Linked DNA regions of Arabidopsis thaliana. The protein of the gene in region 2 purifies or fractionates together with the protein of the main gene of each other region. This does not show direct contact. Each region holds a gene or a part of one and is shown on either strand. Other genes may lie near its edges.

Evidence for each region. Proteins that work in one complex are often made in the same cells at the same time.
Region 1: the proteins of AT4G39680 (region 2) and AT5G51280 purify together in Arabidopsis thaliana (affinity purification with mass spectrometry, with the first as the bait; one large-scale study listed by BioGRID). This does not show direct contact.
Region 3: the proteins of AT4G39680 (region 2) and UAP56a purify together in Arabidopsis thaliana (affinity purification with mass spectrometry, with the first as the bait; one large-scale study listed by BioGRID). This does not show direct contact.

The regions. Positions count from the first base shown.
Region 1 is NC_003076.8:20,839,409-20,844,502, reverse strand, and holds AT5G51280 (DEAD-box protein abstrakt), read right to left. Parts: upstream 3,265-5,094; 5' UTR 3,048-3,264; coding exon 2,137-3,047; intron 1,723-2,136; coding exon 858-1,722; 3' UTR 511-857; downstream 1-510. Other genes in the region: ACD5 (Diacylglycerol kinase family protein), read left to right, coding at 1-39, 114-251.
Region 2 is NC_003075.7:18,413,760-18,419,161, forward strand, and holds AT4G39680 (SAP domain-containing protein), read right to left. Parts: upstream 3,850-5,402; 5' UTR 3,588-3,849; intron 3,426-3,587; 5' UTR 3,367-3,425; intron 3,203-3,366; 5' UTR 3,180-3,202; coding exon 2,027-3,179; intron 1,815-2,026; coding exon 1,626-1,814; intron 1,532-1,625; coding exon 1,380-1,531; intron 1,253-1,379; coding exon 845-1,252; 3' UTR 547-844; downstream 1-546. Other genes in the region: AT4G39675 (uncharacterized protein), read left to right, coding at 82-294; AT4G39690 (MICOS complex subunit), read left to right, coding at 3,996-4,006, 4,199-4,262, 4,345-5,061.
Region 3 is NC_003076.8:3,551,364-3,557,528, reverse strand, and holds UAP56a (DEAD/DEAH box RNA helicase family protein), read right to left. Parts: upstream 4,434-6,165; 5' UTR 4,332-4,433; intron 4,215-4,331; 5' UTR 4,196-4,214; coding exon 4,083-4,195; intron 3,851-4,082; coding exon 3,750-3,850; intron 3,429-3,749; exon of another isoform or gene 3,293-3,428; coding exon 3,120-3,292; intron 3,021-3,119; coding exon 2,789-3,020; intron 2,709-2,788; coding exon 2,590-2,708; intron 1,906-2,589; coding exon 1,849-1,905; intron 1,757-1,848; coding exon 1,572-1,756; intron 1,464-1,571; coding exon 1,319-1,463; intron 1,229-1,318; coding exon 1,145-1,228; intron 1,051-1,144; coding exon 987-1,050; intron 894-986; coding exon 883-893; 3' UTR 511-882; downstream 1-510. Other genes in the region: GLR2.6 (glutamate receptor 2.6), read left to right, coding at 1-268; APT5 (adenine phosphoribosyltransferase 5), read right to left, coding at 5,543-5,614, 5,768-5,826, 5,918-6,067, 6,153-6,165. UniProt on the Arabidopsis thaliana protein: ATP-dependent RNA helicase involved in pre-mRNA splicing. Required for the export of mRNA out of the nucleus. In addition to ssRNA and dsRNA, binds dsDNA, but not ssDNA.

The DNA of each region.
Region 1 (5,094 bases), on a different chromosome or scaffold from region 2:
GGAGAACCTTTGAACTTCGAGTTTGTGGAATATCACAAGGTTTGTAAAACATTTTCCTTTTCTAATCTTCTTAACTTGGTTGGGTCCTGATCAAAATATATTTGGTAATGCAGACGCGAGCTTTCACGTTTACATCATTTGGGGAAGAGAGTGTGTGGAATTTGGACGGAGAGATCTTTGAGGCTCACCAATTATCAGCCCAAGTATTGCGTGGCCTTATACCTCTGTTCGCATCTGGTCCAGAGATATAACAACATGCATGTGAATGTGGTTTTATATGAAGCTTTTGTGCATAGTTAGTGACCCAAGTGAAAAAGCCAAATGAGACTGGAAACTAGAAAAGTCTTATAGTGAACATGACAATGTTGCCAAAAAAAGAACATGGCAAACATATTATAGTATCCAAAAATTCGAGATGTAACCATTGGAGATTGGAGATGATATTACTCTTTCTCATTGTAAACATCATTATGATGTAATTAATAGTCTATACCTTTTTCCCCATAAAAAAAAAACGTTACCTTTCAGCGCTGATATGAAAATGTATCTTCAATACAACCCAACGGTGTAAAGGGGCACTTGTAACAATAACAACAGAAAGAAGAGACACCAAAATGAACAACTAAACTCAAAAGCAACCTTAGGGATACAATTCGAAAGACCTTGCACCTTACCGCATGCACATTGTGTACAAAATTTAGTTCAAGAATCCGACCATATATATTAACTAAGAAATATTTTGACATGATAGAACTCGACTCAGTGTAAAAAGCGTGACATATGGAAGATAAACATCACAAACATCACAGTTCGGTAACAGCTAAGATGAGATAACTAGCAAAGGGAACAAAACAAGATTATATTTCTCCTCTGTAGCCACCCGAGCCAAAATAATCTTTTCTTGAGTTAGAAATGGCGACACTCTTCTGGTGCTCAAGTTTTGGACAGTCTCGGATACGATGTCCAAGACCACCACAATAGGCACAACCCTTGACACCACTTGCATTAGCAATGGTCTCTGCTTCTTCCATTGGATCATTCAGCTCAGCAAGGACAGGTGGAATCCTCTGTTTAGCTTCTTGCAACAAGTGTTTCAAATCCAGCAGAGTGGTTTCGCTTTGATTCTTGTTTATAAACGTCGTTGCTATCCCAGTTTTACCACACCGACCTGTTCGTCCTATCCTATGCACATAGTTCTCAATCTCTGCTGGCATGTCGTAGTTGATTACGTGTTGTATATCAGGGAAATCTAGACCCTTTGAAGCAACATCAGTCGCAACCAACACATCTTTTTTCCCAGCTTTAAACGAAGAGATTGCGTACTCTCTGTCTTCTTGATCTTTTCCTCCATGGATGGCCACTGCTTCCACTCCTTTCAGTAACAAGTACTCGTGAATATCATCAACATCAGCTTTGTTCTCACAGAATATCAAAACCGGCGGAGAGGTTTTCTGTAGACACTCGAGGAGGTAAACAATCTTTGCTTCTTGTTTGACGTATTCTACCTCCTGGATCACATCCAGATTCGCAGCTCCAGCTCTTCCTACATTAACTGTCACAGGTTTCACCAGAGCACTTCTGGCAAAGATTTGAATCTTTGTGGGCATTGTGGCAGAGAACAATAGTGTTTGACGTTGAGACTTAAAGTGGTCAAAGACTTCCCTTATGTCATCTTCGAAACCCAAATCAACCAACCTATCTGCCTCATCTAGTGTCAGGTACCTAAAAAAAGGAAAAAAAGGAAGGTAAACATCATTGCCATCTAACATTCTCAAGATTTTGAAATTAAATGACACAGTCTCAAGACTCCAAAGACAAGAAAGATGCATTCAGAAAGAAACACCAGTGCGGAAAATTTATTCAGAGAGAAAAAATCCGATAGAATCACACAATAAAGAACATATATAGCAATGAAGCGCTAAGTAGCTAACAGACACTAGACAATCCTATTGATCTATCCCGTTAACCAGAAACAACAAAACAGGCACAATAAGCAGATATCCCCAAGAATCTAGCCAAGTGCAAAACTCAGAAAACGAGGATATAAGATCAAACAAGGCAGCCAAGACAGTAGACGCAAACATATATTACAATCAGGTTGATTAATCATATTGAAAAGAACCAAAGAAATCATACCTGCAAGCATCTAAGCTCATCTTTTTCTTGGCGAGCATATCCTTTAACCTCCCAGGGGTTGCAACAACAATATGGACACCTCTCTTGACAACCTCCAACTGGGATCTCATATCAATACCTCCAATACATAGCAACGACCTCAATGGCGGGTACCCAGCCTCAACCAAAGGAGCCACAAACTGCTCAACCACTTCATAAGTCTGCCTAGCAAGCTCTCTAGAAGGGCAAACAATAAGCCCAATGGGACCTTCACCAGCAGCAATAGGCATCATCATCTCTTCTTGGAGAGCAATCATGATCATGGGAAGCACGAAAACCAAAGTCTTTCCGGAACCAGTGAAAGCAATCCCAATCATATCTCTCCCAGCCAAAATCACAGGAAGACCCTGAACTTGAATAGGAGTAGGCTGCACAATACCTTTCTCCTTGAGAGTATCGAGAACAGGTCTAGGAAACTTCATATCCTTAAAGTTCTTAATAGGAGGAGGAATATCATCACCATTAACAATAATATGCCATTGCTTCCTAATCAAATCTCTCTGCTTACTAGACATCTTCCTAATATGCAAAGGAGGTTTCCACCCAGTTAAGAGAGGCTCTGTATAAGTGATACCTTTGGCAAGTTCACGAACAGACATAAGCGTCTTCTTATCAGATAAATGCTCCATCATCTCTTTCTCTTGTAAGATGATTTGCTCAGTAGCACTAACTTCGGGTACATCTCGCTTGAGCTGAGTTGCTTGAACAAGTAAACTAGGTTTAGCTTCAGCGAGCTTTTCCTTGTCAGCTTCTTCTTCCAATTCCGAAGCTTTTCCCTTCCGCTGAAGTATCTTCTGCGCTGCAATCGCTCTCCGCTCCGCCACTGATACATACTCAATGTAACTATCAGCTTCTTCCATGATGGATTCCATATCGAGAATTCAGCAACTTCTTCTTCTATTCCCTTTTTCAAAAAAAAATCCCAGGAGAATCGAAGAACACGTATAGGAGGAATAGAAAACTCAAATCAACAAACCCTAGTAGAGAGAGAGCCTCAAATCAACAAGCTTTGCACATCTCTCGAATCAATCGCTAATAGCTTTCCTTTAAAGGGTCACTGACCGACCGAAGTTTTTCTGTAGGTCGTCGGAAATCGGGTTTAGACGGCGTGTAAATTTTGTTTATTGGGCCTATTATCTGTAAGTTAATGGGCTTTCAATAAAGATTTCAGTGACAAAAACAAAAAAAAAACAAATTCATCTCAAATCTCAACTTTTTTTTATCCTTGATCTATTGTGTTCATCTATCATTTAACTTGGTTGTTTACGATAACAAAATTTTGTTCTGTTTTTCGATTTTTTGAATGATTTTCAGATGTATTAAAATTGCTAATATATTGTTAAGTTCTTCACATTACGTAACACGATTTAAATAAAGAAAATGACATGATACATCTTTTGTGAGTTACACTATATATGACATGTGATATAACATAACAACACATTTCATTAGACAATGTATTCGTAGACTCGTAGTTACACAAACAGAACAACTAAAATTAAACAAGGTGACATAGTGACATGTACCAAAACAGAAAATACATAGCCGATATTGTCCCGGTCATGGTTCGCATCTAACCATGATGATATTGACTAAGAAAAGAAAAAGAAATTCAAAGTCCGACCTGAATTCAAAAGAAAATAAACCTGACTCAAATGAATTAACCATTAATTTTACCCAAAAATAATATCAATTCCAAAAACAAGTTCAAGTAAGAAGGAGGAGTTGGGGTCGAAGTTCTATATCATGTTGATTATATATTGTTGCTTTTTGGTGCATGACATCATGCAATATTTAAATGTATTTATCTATATATTTTCTTATTTGGGATATAACCATATAATGAATCATACTTGATGGTTTGTTTAAAAAGAATCATACGACTTGATGTACCTAAGAAAAAGATTCATAACATGGGTTTGTGAAGCTGAGCAACGTTGACATTGCATATGTATCTCTCTTTCCCTCTTTTATGTCTAAGTGCATTTTCTCGTTCATTCATATAAACTTATATTAATATGCCACTTTCATAGTATATTAGTTAGAATTCATTGGATTGTGTTGTTGACAAAAATTGGATTGGTTAAAAACTTAAAAGAGAAAGAAAAAGATAGACACACATTGTCACATACCTATATTATAGGGATCGGGAGACAAAAAGACGTGATGGCAAGATAGATCATGCGAGCAACCAAGGGAGGAAAACCCCATTAAAATATAGATCATTATATGTATTTTATGATATTTTTGTAATATGTAGAATTCATTCGTAAACTAACCGCAAAAACCAAATGAAATTGGAATTACATATATAATAAAAAATAAAAGTAAAAGAAATTGGAATTACATCATATGTCTAGTTACAAGATGAAAAATTCATCTTAAAACATAAGGAAAGTTTTATAAAAAAATACTCATTTCTTCAAGCAAAATACTCAAATTTTAAAAATCTGAAGTCCCCTATTTAAATAGAAGAATTATTTTAGATAAATGTTTTTTCCATATATATTCAAAGTATTAAGAATAATAAATGAATATTAGATTTAATTATCACGAAATTTTGTTATTCTCTGTAACAGTTTCATCTGTATTCCTAGATGATATATTATAGAATATATATAGTATATATGTGAATTGGGATATATAGATCTCTATCATGAACGTGATCCATGATTTCATATGGTCTCCGACTCTCCATTCAATATTCTCATTTGAAGTGCCATGCAGAGGGATTATATATACATGGCAGAACTATGTGAGATTTAAGAAGAATACGCATTTTGTTACTTTACAGTTTTACACTATGTAACATGGACTACAAAAATATTTAAAAACGTTAAATCCTCAAGATATCATATAAAGTGACTAACATCATGTGATGCAATTTTTCCGAAGTAAGAACAATATATACTTCATCTT
Region 2 (5,402 bases):
ACAAACTCAACCTTCACTTCGAAAATCTTAACCACATCTTATTCTTAACACATTTATTTTGTTAACCAACACTAAAAAGTAATGTCGTCCATTGGAGCAAGTTACGCACACCTACAAGTCATGCAGAAGAAGCAGAAGGAGAAGATGAAAAAGCTAGAAAAGGAGAGAAACTTCGACCACGATGAAGCTCATAGACTCCCTGTCGAAACATCTTTTGCGTCCGGAAGGATTTCTAATAAAATCTATCCTTCTCGTTTGTCTTATGAACAAGTAGAGTTCAAATCACAAAAGTGAAGTTCAAAGTAATGAAATTCTTGAAAAGGATCTTCAGAGCCTTCTCTCCCAAGTATTTGTCCTTTGTGTTTGCATGTAATTATGTATGTATGTGTGATGTGTCTAAAACGTATCTTGGTCGTCTTTGTAGTTTTGTGAAAGTGTACAATTTGTGTGTTTATGTTATCAAGTGTTAAAAGGTTATTCCATTGACACACGCCCATTACTAGGTTTGACACATGATCTAAAAGTAAGTTGCAAGATTTGAAATTTGGTAATATTGGGCTGCTATTACTTTATTTTTGACCCAACAATTGTTCATAGATCCATGAAAAGGTAAAAGAAGAAATGGAGAGGAAAAGATCTAACACACAGAGAGCCAAACAACTCTGTTAGTTCATCACAGGTTCAAACCAAAGTCTACTAAACATAAGAAGAGTCTTCCCATCCGTTCTACATTAAAAATAACAAACCAAACTCAACAGAGTACTCAACTTTTGTCCGCACTGAGCTAAATTCCTAAGAGCCTGCTACGAAAACAATGACCTGAAATTCCCAAGAACCAGCAAGATCACTTGTTATTATTCGCTGCAAGTTTAGCTGCAACTTGCTCCTCTGACAAGGGTAAGTAATATATCCTGGGGATCGCTTTTGTCTTCTTGAATAGATCATCAAGAGTGACAATGGGAGGTTCTTGTTCCTCAGGGGCTATAGGAGGAGGGGGAGGCAGAGGAAGACGTTCTACAACGTGAGGTGGTTTGGCCAGAGGTGGTGGTGGTGGAAGAGCAGTTGGAGGTGGCCGCGAAAGAGTCTGAGCTTGTGGCTGATGCTGAGGCTGAGGAGGCAGAGGAGCTTCCAGTTTTTCTTTTACTTCTTCTGCTCTAACAAATTCAGCTATCAGATGGCGGCCTCCATTAGGTGGCCACTGGAGGTTATACACTGCTTCTCTTGTTGCTGCTGCTTCTTCAACCGAGGGATACTGCAGTCACGTCACAACTCACTCATGTTACACAAAATTCTTTGGATATTTAGATAATTGAATTCGAAAGTACACAAACAGAATCAACATTTTTGTAAATCAAAAGGATTTGAAGAAGCGGTCTTACCGATACATAGCAGTGGGTCTTAATGTGGTCCATCCAGAAACTAGTGACATTTCCGGTTTTACCCAGGAGCTCCTGAACAGCTTTCAGTGTGAACGGCCTAAGGAAACGGTCAATCCTGAGGGAATTTGTAGGCTCCTTTGGAGATGGAGGAACTGCCAATAAATATTGAACACATCTATCAAACAAAGCTTTAAGACAATGAATAAGAGATGGAAACATACATAGAGGGGGTGCTGTATTACATACCCACACGTTCCTTGGGTCCATCTTCACTAACCGAAGAGTCAGACCTTGAGAAGTCGCGCTTCAGACCAGTCGACCTTGGTGTTGTAGTGGGTGTAGCACTATTAGTGATCTGTGCTTCAGGAACTTTAATACTATTAGAGTTCCATCGGCGCCTCTTTGCAGGTTCATTGTTTCCAACAGCTTCTTGATCTACATTGAGTTACAAAGAAAGACATTTCAGCATACATAGCTAGAATTTCAAAACAGATGCTTCAAAAGCCAATATATATAAGAAGTAGCCATAAACGACAAAGATGAAACAACTATTAAACACTACCAGTATATGCCTCAAACACCAACATTACAGATTAAACACAGTAAAAGATTTGATTAATAAAACAAATGAATATGAGAGGAATTACCATTAGCAGGAAGCTTTCTTTTGTCAGAAGCCACCAGTGGGTGACTTTTATTTTCAGGGGATTTCCCTTTCCCCGCATCCATATCAGCACGGCTTTCCTCCTTAGAAAGCATTTCAATTTTTGCACTCTTATCATCAGATGTAATTGACTCGGATTGCTTTGTCTCCGGCTCATCCTCCATAGACTCATCACCAGAACTTCTATCTAAATTCAACTTTTCTGAGTCGCCTGCATCGATAATATTATTTTCTTTGATCATATCTGCGTTTGCAGCATTGCTGTCATCCCCACCTCCAACAGATGTCTTCTGCTCAAGTGGCTCCTCGACATCCATTGGATGCGATTCGCCAACGACTGTTGATGGCTCTTGGAACTTATTAACATTTTGTTCTAATTTGACATTATCAGCAATTTTGTTATCCTTTAGTTCTATTTTTTCATTATTTGACACAGAATCAGTAGAAATACAATCAGATTTTACCTCAAACCCTGTAACGGGGATGACCTCAGATACCTGGTTGTACATAGCAGATTTTTCAAGCACTGCCTCTGATGGTTGAGCCTTAGAATCCCCACCATCCAACCCACTAAATGGTTCATTATTCTCAGATTTGTGCTCACTAGACGCCACTTGCACAACTGCTGCATCACGTGCAACCACTGAACTATCAAGACCAGCTATGTCTCTAACATCATCAACTTTCTCTTTCTCATCTTCATCACTAGCGAATGGCACAGCGTTAACCTCTGGTTCTGAAAACACCGGGGCTGGTGTAGTCTCAACACCAGCTGAAGCTTCAGTTGTTATCTTGGTCTGAGTTGGTTCTGGGGTTTTCTCAGCTGTAACAGGAGTTGTCTCAGTGCTAAATGCCGCTTCAACAGGAGTAACAGGAGTGGTTTGATTACGATCACCTACAGTAACAGGAAACATCTGAGGCTCTTGATTGGCTTTTTCAGCAGCAGCAACAGTAGCACTATTGATCCTTTCAGACTCTTCTTGCTCAGCACGAAGTGCTTCATCAAGACGCCTAACCAATTCCTCCTTCAAGCCTCTTGTTGTTAGTCTCCGTCTTTTAAGCTCTTCTTTCAATTCCGTAACCTTCCACTTATCAATTGGTCGGTTGTCCAAGACTGGAAAAGGCGATGACGACATCTTAGCTTATGAGAGAGCTGATTCTGAAAAAATATTGAATATAAAATTAGAGAAACCCATCGCAGAGGACAAAACCTAAATCAGACAAATTAGCAAAGCAACGCAGCAAATCTATATAATTTAAAACCAAAGCTTAAATCTTTAACAAACCCAATCCAAAAGAGCTAGAAGTTTAAAGATGACTTACAACAAAATGGCTTGAAACTTCCTCTGATGGGTAAAAGAAGGCAGGAAAAATGTAAAACCCTAAATTCGTAGCATAAGAAGAATGAAACAATTAGAGAGACAAGACAACAATCAAAACCCAGTACGGAAGATTACAAATTTATCAAATTTCCGACTCAAAATAGATTCTTCAACACCAGATTTTACTCTCTTAAGACGAAGAAGAAAAAGAAGAACGCAAACCTTAAAAACGAAATCCAGAAGCAATGGAACGGAGAGAGAGTGACCTTTGGTTGAAGAATTCTAATCGAGAATGAAAGATAAAGCGGACATTGGGAATTTTTCTATCCCGTCATTACAAAAATTGGGAATTTTGGAAAGAGGAGGCGAATTCTAGGGTTCTTGTTCGTCGAGTGGTTTTGATATTGGGGAAAAACTCGAGGACCTGAAGTGATAATGGGTCGCATTGTATTGTGAAATGTCTAAATTACCCTTTTTCTCAAGTAATTTTGTACGGCGTCGTTTCAATGCTTTTGGGGTTTTCAGAGAATACTATTATTTTACTCACCGGAGGCTCCGAGTCTTCTCCGTCCGTCGTAACATCTTCGCTCTCTCGTTCGGCGTTTGTATCACCAGAGACGCGACGCGATAATGCTTCGGAAGTATGTTTCCTGAACCCTAAGTTTATTATCTCAATCCATCTTGTTGAATTTTGGCTTCTCTTGTTCCATCAATCTCGTTGCGTAGCTTTCGGGTCTGATTTTATTGATTCCTCTAAATTGAGAGCTATTTGTGACTTTGATTCTCTTGTGAATCATACCGAATGTGGTTTATGTTGTTGCTCTTTTGCTTAGGTCGGTTCTCGAGCTGTCTTCTCGTTTGTCAATAAAGAGATTCCCGAGGAATTTGGGAGCTCAGGTGAGTTATGAATTTAGTTGTGATTCTTAGTTAGCGTCTTGTGAGTACTCTCTTGGATTGATTGTGTTATGTTATGCATCAGAGGTTTCATTTGAGCTCTTCGAGAAATGCATCTACATCTGGTAAAAATGGTCTCCCTGGAGCTAAACCCGTTGGGAAACCAGATGCCTCAAAAGTTGATCCTCCAAAAGTGACTCCTCCTCCTCCTACTAAAGGAAATTCTTCAAAAGTGGTTATAGGAGGTGTTGCAATCGCTGGGGCTTTTCTGGTAGCGTATCAGACTGGCTATTTGGATCAATATCTGGGGAAAGAACAGCAGAAATTAAGTGAGCGAATTCATTCTGATGCTCTAACTGAAAAGCTGGAGGAGGCTCATCATTTGAATGTACCTTCCGGTGTTGAAGATTCTACTGAAAAAGATGGAAAAGTTGAAACGCAACCTCAAGTTACTCATTCTGAAGCTTCCGAGGGAGTGCAGAGTGACATAGAACTGCAACCCGAGTCTGATCTATCATCTGACCGTTTTACATATATTTCTTCTAACCAAGAGGAGACACCTCAAGAAACTGTCATTGATAGAGCAGAGATAAACTTGCCTATTTCTGCATCTGAAGATTCAGGAGCTAAGCCGGACATGCCATCAGAAATTATTTCTGAGGCAGAAAGTGTGAAGTTGGAAGCTGTACCCAAACCTGGGGATAGTCCTATTATTGTTAATGCCCAGTCTAGTTCGGTTCATAGAGAAAGCGAAACGGAATCTGCTTCACCAAAGGATCCTGCCGCTCTAAAGACACCTGAGGTACTAAAATTTCCTTTGCTGAACTTGAAAAAGAACTACAAGTAATGAAATGAATAGCTTACAGATTTAAAAATCAGAAGATGAATGTCTCAGTATTCCTTGTTTCATGAAATTTTTCTTGTCTCGTCCTTTTCCTGCATTGGACCAGAATGCTTGTATTTTGAAAGGGGATACACCTATGTAAAGGGATTCTGCTACATTGTTGGAGTTAAAAGCACTCCTTTGTTTTGTGCAAATTCTTATTATATTGGTTGAAATGGGATATTCATATGGACATTATGTTAACTGTCCTGAATCAAATTCTGATAGAAACTGATTTTTTAAGAAGGAATGTAGGGAAC
Region 3 (6,165 bases), on a different chromosome or scaffold from region 2:
TCCACCTAATCAGCCAACAGATGATAACATGAGAGCTCCGACTAGTCCGCCAATTGATGATCAAGTCCTTGAGCCACCTGGTCCAGCATTAAATGAAGCCGATGATCAAGATCAGCTTCTGAATGATGAAGTTAATGTTGGAGATCGAAATGAAGTAGATATTATTGTGGAAGTCGACCCAACTTTGGTTCACCGTAGAAATCTGATCACCTCAAAAACAATACCCACCCGAAGAGCTGCACTATTCTCGAGGATTAAGTCTGCATAGGCTCTGATCGTAGTCTTTCTGAATGAACCTAATTATTATGTTCTTTTGCGTGTTGTTTTTTGAGTTTTTTCTCATGCAAAGGCAACAGACTTGCCTCTTAAAAAGTCAAAAGACAAATAGGCAAGGACACATTGACTCCTTCAAGTTGCCTTTTTCCCCTAACCATTGTTCCTTGGATATAAACTTTTCAATATATAAAGTAACCATATATACGTGTTGTATCTCTTCCACACTAAATGAAATGTGTTATAAAAAAAAAGCATCACATGAAGGAAGTAACGCTGATGAATGACGATTCTTAGCAACACCATGATAAATTGATAATAGATCGATTCCTAAGGAACACAGTAATCAGGTCGAGACTAAATCCTGATATTTCAAACATAATAATCTCTTGTACAAAAAACTGGACAGCTTTTAACTGTGCGATTTGGAGAGTGACTCGAATCTCCTTTAAAGAGTACAACAGACGTTCTAAACATATGGAAAAAAATGTCGTCATAGAAAACACTAAAACAAACGGAGCGAGAGATAGTTGTGAACCCCCATCACCCTTCGAACACCTACAAGGTTGAAATCTGAAGAGCTTCTTTCCTGAGGGACGTGCTACTTGTTTAAGAAGGCACTGAACAAAGAAAGAAGAAGAAACAACATTAATATCACAACCAGACAAAACCAAGCTTTTAAACAAACAATTGGTAAGGGATTTCACACTTACTGTAGGTTGAAGTATCAATCTGCTCCGGAAGTTCCTTTATATCAACCTCAAACCTCTCTTGTACCTGTCCAAGATTTATAATTGCCACTTTACTAAATATCCAACTCAATTTCAAGAGGAGTTTTCCGTGGACTTATTACAAAGATTGAACACCATACCTGGTTAAGAACCTCTGAATCTGAAGCAGATGCAACAAATGTGATTGCAAGACCCTTGGTTCCAAATCTACCAGCTCTGCCAACCTATACCATACACAGCAAAACGGTAAAGTTACAAGAGCCCTTTCAGTGAGATCAACAATCAAATAATAAATTTCAGTATTATATACTTACCCTGTGAAGATAGGTATCAGCAGAATCTGGCATGTCATAGTTGATGACAATGTTGACACGCTCAATGTCAATCCCTCTTCCTACCAAGTCAGTCGCCACAAGGATCCTTTTGTGCCCTTCCTTGAAACTTTTGTATCGAGTCAACCTACATAACATATCGTATTAGCCTTAAGAATTGGACTCCTCTCCATGAGGGCTTTAAGAGCAGGTAGGGTCCTTCAAAAACATTGAATTTTGAAGAGAATGTACAGACCTCTCTTCTTGAGACATTCCAGAGTGGATGCATATTGAGGGGAAATTGCATTCCACCAGTAACTTGTTCAGCTCAGCAGCCCTGCTCACGCTCTTCACAAAAATGACAACTTGATTGAAGTCCAACGCATCAAGAAGGTCATTCAACTTCCGGTTTTTCTCCATCTCGCTCAGTTTGATATAGTGCTGTTACAGTATGACAGTAAAAGGTCTTTTAAGTATCAAACAACAAACTATATTTCCATTGAATAAGAAGACCTAACACCAGATAAGAGTACCTGGACAAGCCCATGAAGAGTCAACTTGGCTTCATCATCGACATATATTTCCATTGGCTGAAAGGAATAGATATCAGGTAATAATTAGCAAGCTTTTCTCAGGAAATGATTTACACTACAAAAGTGAAGATGGATGTAAAACCCCTGATCTGAGATCCTCGTCCACCAGGTTCTCTTCATAGATGTGAGTTTTGCTATGATACAGCGATATTGCTCGGAACATTAAGGCCCATACAATCACAATGAAACCTTGGGACAACACAGTACCCCACCCAAAACCCACCCAGCACTGCTAGAATTGCAAAGAAATTGAAACTGAATAAAAGGTAATGACGAAAGAAGATCCTGTTGTGCAATGGTCACTCATTCATACCAATGCTACAGAGGCTCACACTCACAGTTCTCGATCCCTACAAACTACCCAAAGCATTAGTGGATTGAGACCCATCGAGAGATCAGTTGCAGCTTTTCCAGGGCAGAACCGCAGAAGATGCCCAAATAATGCTATAATCACCCATAGAAACCATACCAAAGCTACAGAGTCTCACACTCACAGTTCTCGTTCCCTACAAACTACCCAACCATTATTGGATTGAGACCCATTGAGAGATCAGTTGCCGCTTTTCCAGGGCAGAACCGCAGAAGACGCTCAACTAATGCTATGATCACTCATAGAAGGCTAAAAATAGTTGAAAACTAGAAGACTTGCAAAGGGAGAGAGAATTGGCCATGGAACATTACATCTTGCATAAATTTTTTGCAGACTGGGCGTATCTCTTTGCTGAGCGTTGCTGAGAACATCATTACTTGTTTGTCATGAGGAGTCATCTTGAAAATCTCCTGCACATCCCTTCGCATGTCTGGTAAAAAAAAAGTTAAAGTGTTAAAACATAAAATTATTCAGGGATCGATGTAATAATGATGTCAGAAATCAGCATACCAAGTGACTCGAGCATTTTATCACATTCATCAAGAATAAAATGCCTCACATTCTTCAAAGAGAGATCTTTCTCCCTGGCAAGTGCAAGCACCCGACCAGGGGTACCAACAACAATGTGAGGACATTCATTCTTCAGCAAGTCTTTGTGAATTTTAATGTTGACTCCACCATAGAACACCGAAACCTTTGTATCAGGCAGATAGGTACTGAATCGCACAAACTCATTGCAGATCTGCAAGTAATTGTCAGCATCAAGGCAAAAAGCATTAGAGGAAGAAGACGTACAACAAAACTATAAGCCAAGAACCTGAGTGAAACAAGAAGGTCATACCTGGTAAGCTAGCTCTCTTGTATGGCACAAGACAAGTGCAGAAACCTGGCCAGGAGATGGTTCAATCTGTTGTAGAGTAGACAGGACAAACACAGCAGTCTTCCCCATACCAGACTTTGCTTGGCAGATGACATCCATGCCCAAGATAGCTTGAGGGATACATTCATGTTGCACTGGTGGAGAACCAAAGAAAATTGTACCGAAGAAAGCCTTTATAAGTAGATGATAACCTCCATATCTTTTAAATTGGTGGCTTTAGCACATGTTTAAGCTCACTCCAAACCAATAGATTGAAATATCGTTTATTACCTGGAAAAAGTAATCAGTGAAACGTTAATAAACAAAGAAAACAAAAACCATTATAACAGGAAATAAAAAAGAATTTGACCTCAACACAAACTTTTTTTAATTTAGTTAGATGATAAGCAAAGGACCAAGATAAAGTATAAAATATCTTTAACCAACATATCTTCTCAAAACTAGACGAAGTACATATAATTAAAAGTTTCCGGACAACTAAAACATCTTATGGAGAAGTCACTTCTGTAAATTATACAATATCATTCGGTAATAGAATGGTGAAAGGCAAGGCAGAAAAGTCAAAGGTAGGGTGTATTTCATTGTAATAACCTTCAGATGGATGTTCAAATCCAGAGTCAACAATAGCTCTGAGAAGCTCCGGTTTTAAAAGGAAGTCTCTGAATCCAGAACTGTGTATTCCCACGTACCCTCTGTCACAAAGAGAAAATACAAGATGATAAACACATGACCGTCTAATATTGGGTAGGTTCCAGGAATTTTAGCATTGAAGAACTTAGTCAATTGTCATAAAGTTAAGCAACTAACCAAACACATAGATAATTGAAGAACTTAGTCGGTTGTTATCAAGCAGTAATCTAAGAAAACCCTAAATTTAAACATCCACTATCTCATGAAACAGATCGAGGAAATCATAAAACTCACTTTTTCACGGCTTCACCGTTAACTTTGTTTCCAGAATCTGGGACCTTCTCGTCTTCTTCTTCATAGTCCAAGAGCTCCTCCTCGTAGGCTTCGTTGTCTCTAGCGTCTCCCATACTTCGCAAATTCAACAAGCTGCAGAGAAATTTCGGGTAAGATTCCAAATCCAAAACATTAACCTAAGATTCAGTAGGAAAGCATCTTCCATTGGAACTTTGGATAAGCAATTGAGTTCTCGAGCGAGAATTTTACCTGAGATAAGGAGCAGAGTTGGTTGGATCTCGAAATCGACTAGGGTTTCGAAATCTCTGACTGAAGAGAATGAATCACCAACGCCGCGTTGGTGTCGTAAATAAATATATACAAGGAGACTGGATAGGGTTGACAATAAGCTTTACTTTAATGGGCCTAAAGTTTTTATTAATCGGCCCTTCTGCGCCAATTATTATCTAAGTTTTTTTTTCTTTTTTTCTTTAGTGGGTTCGAGTCAATTTAGACAATGACGGTCAGGGCTCGTCTTGGTTTAGTGGGTTCGAGTCAATACGAACAGAACAGTAGAGCACAATAGATAACAAATTGGTTTAGTTAAGATATTTCATTTCCCTTAATAACAATGTTTTTGTTTCAAGGACCCAACAAAATTGTAGGCCCATTAATTAAAACAAAACCCAATTTAGACTGAGTTCAACCATATCTTTCACTCTCTTTGGAATCGTTTGGACGAAGCTCAGATATTTTTACTCTTGCAATTCAGAGATTTCGAAACCCTAATCCGATTTCGCGATCTAACCAGCTCTGCTGAGTTCTCAAGTTATCCATCAGACTCTTCTGTTTATTAGCAAATAAAGCTTTGTAAGGAAAGCCATTGTGTACTTTCACTTTTATTGTTTTATAGTCTTCAATAAATAACACATACAGTAGTTTGCTTATGTAATAATTTGTATCATGAAAACTTTATTAACGATTTTCAATTTATAATTTGAAATCAGTGAAGTAAGTTGTTAAGTTTAGGGAGAAACAAAGAAAAACTTGCAGCAGTGCTGAAGCAAAAATATGGACCAATATTGCAGTAATGAATAGTTTTGTCGTAGAATACAACCAACTTTATCAGTGCTCAGTAATATCAGCATTAAATTTAGTAAACCTACTAGTTGTACTTTTTAGATTTCCCGCATAAATTACGAACGTATCTTTACCCTTTTAATGATTACAGTTATTATAAACTGATTAACATGAGTTAGTGATCCATCAGAAATTCCACCAAACCGGGAAATGTAAAGACTCTTTTCAGTATCTCGGTTTTTTACCAACCACTGCCGTGGAAAGTACACATCAAAATTCAAAATCTACAGAGATCAATAAACGAGAACGAATACAAGAAGTTGGAACCCTAGAAATTTTGAAAAAAAGAACATGAACTCTGCAGGGAAAGAAAACTGAACCGGAAGTAACCGGTATGTATCCTAACAGAACTCATCTAATCCACTAGGCTCCACCAACACATAAAGCGGCTTCCCTTTGAGCTTGTGTTGCCCCTAAAAACAATTCAAAATTTTCACAAACTCAATGAGCAAATTTGAGTTGAGATTATAACAAAAAAACTAACTCTATCACTACATTTTAGAAATCATTTCAAAAGAACAAAACCAGAGATAACTTCTTAGACAAGTAAGATAAATGTGACTCACCTTGACTTCAGGCAAGCCAATAACACAAGCACACTCAACAACTTCAGCTCCTTGGCTCTCTGTAAAACGTCAAACTGTATCACATTACAATTCAAGACCAAAAAATTCTCTTTAAAAACTGAAAAAGAAAACAAGAAGAAAGAAAGAAACCCAATAGGCTCATTGCGGCAGAAAGAGTGCCGCCAGTAGCAACAAGATCATCAATGATAATGACGCGTTCGCGTGGCTCAACAGCGCCAACATGCATCTCTAAACGGTCATGCCCATACTCGAGCTCATAAGACTCCGATATCACTTTCCCTATATTTTATAGTTTCGCCAATTTTTCAGAATCTCAAGAGCTTCTCTATCACAATAACCAAAACAGATAATGCAGTAAAAAAACCTGGTAATTTTCC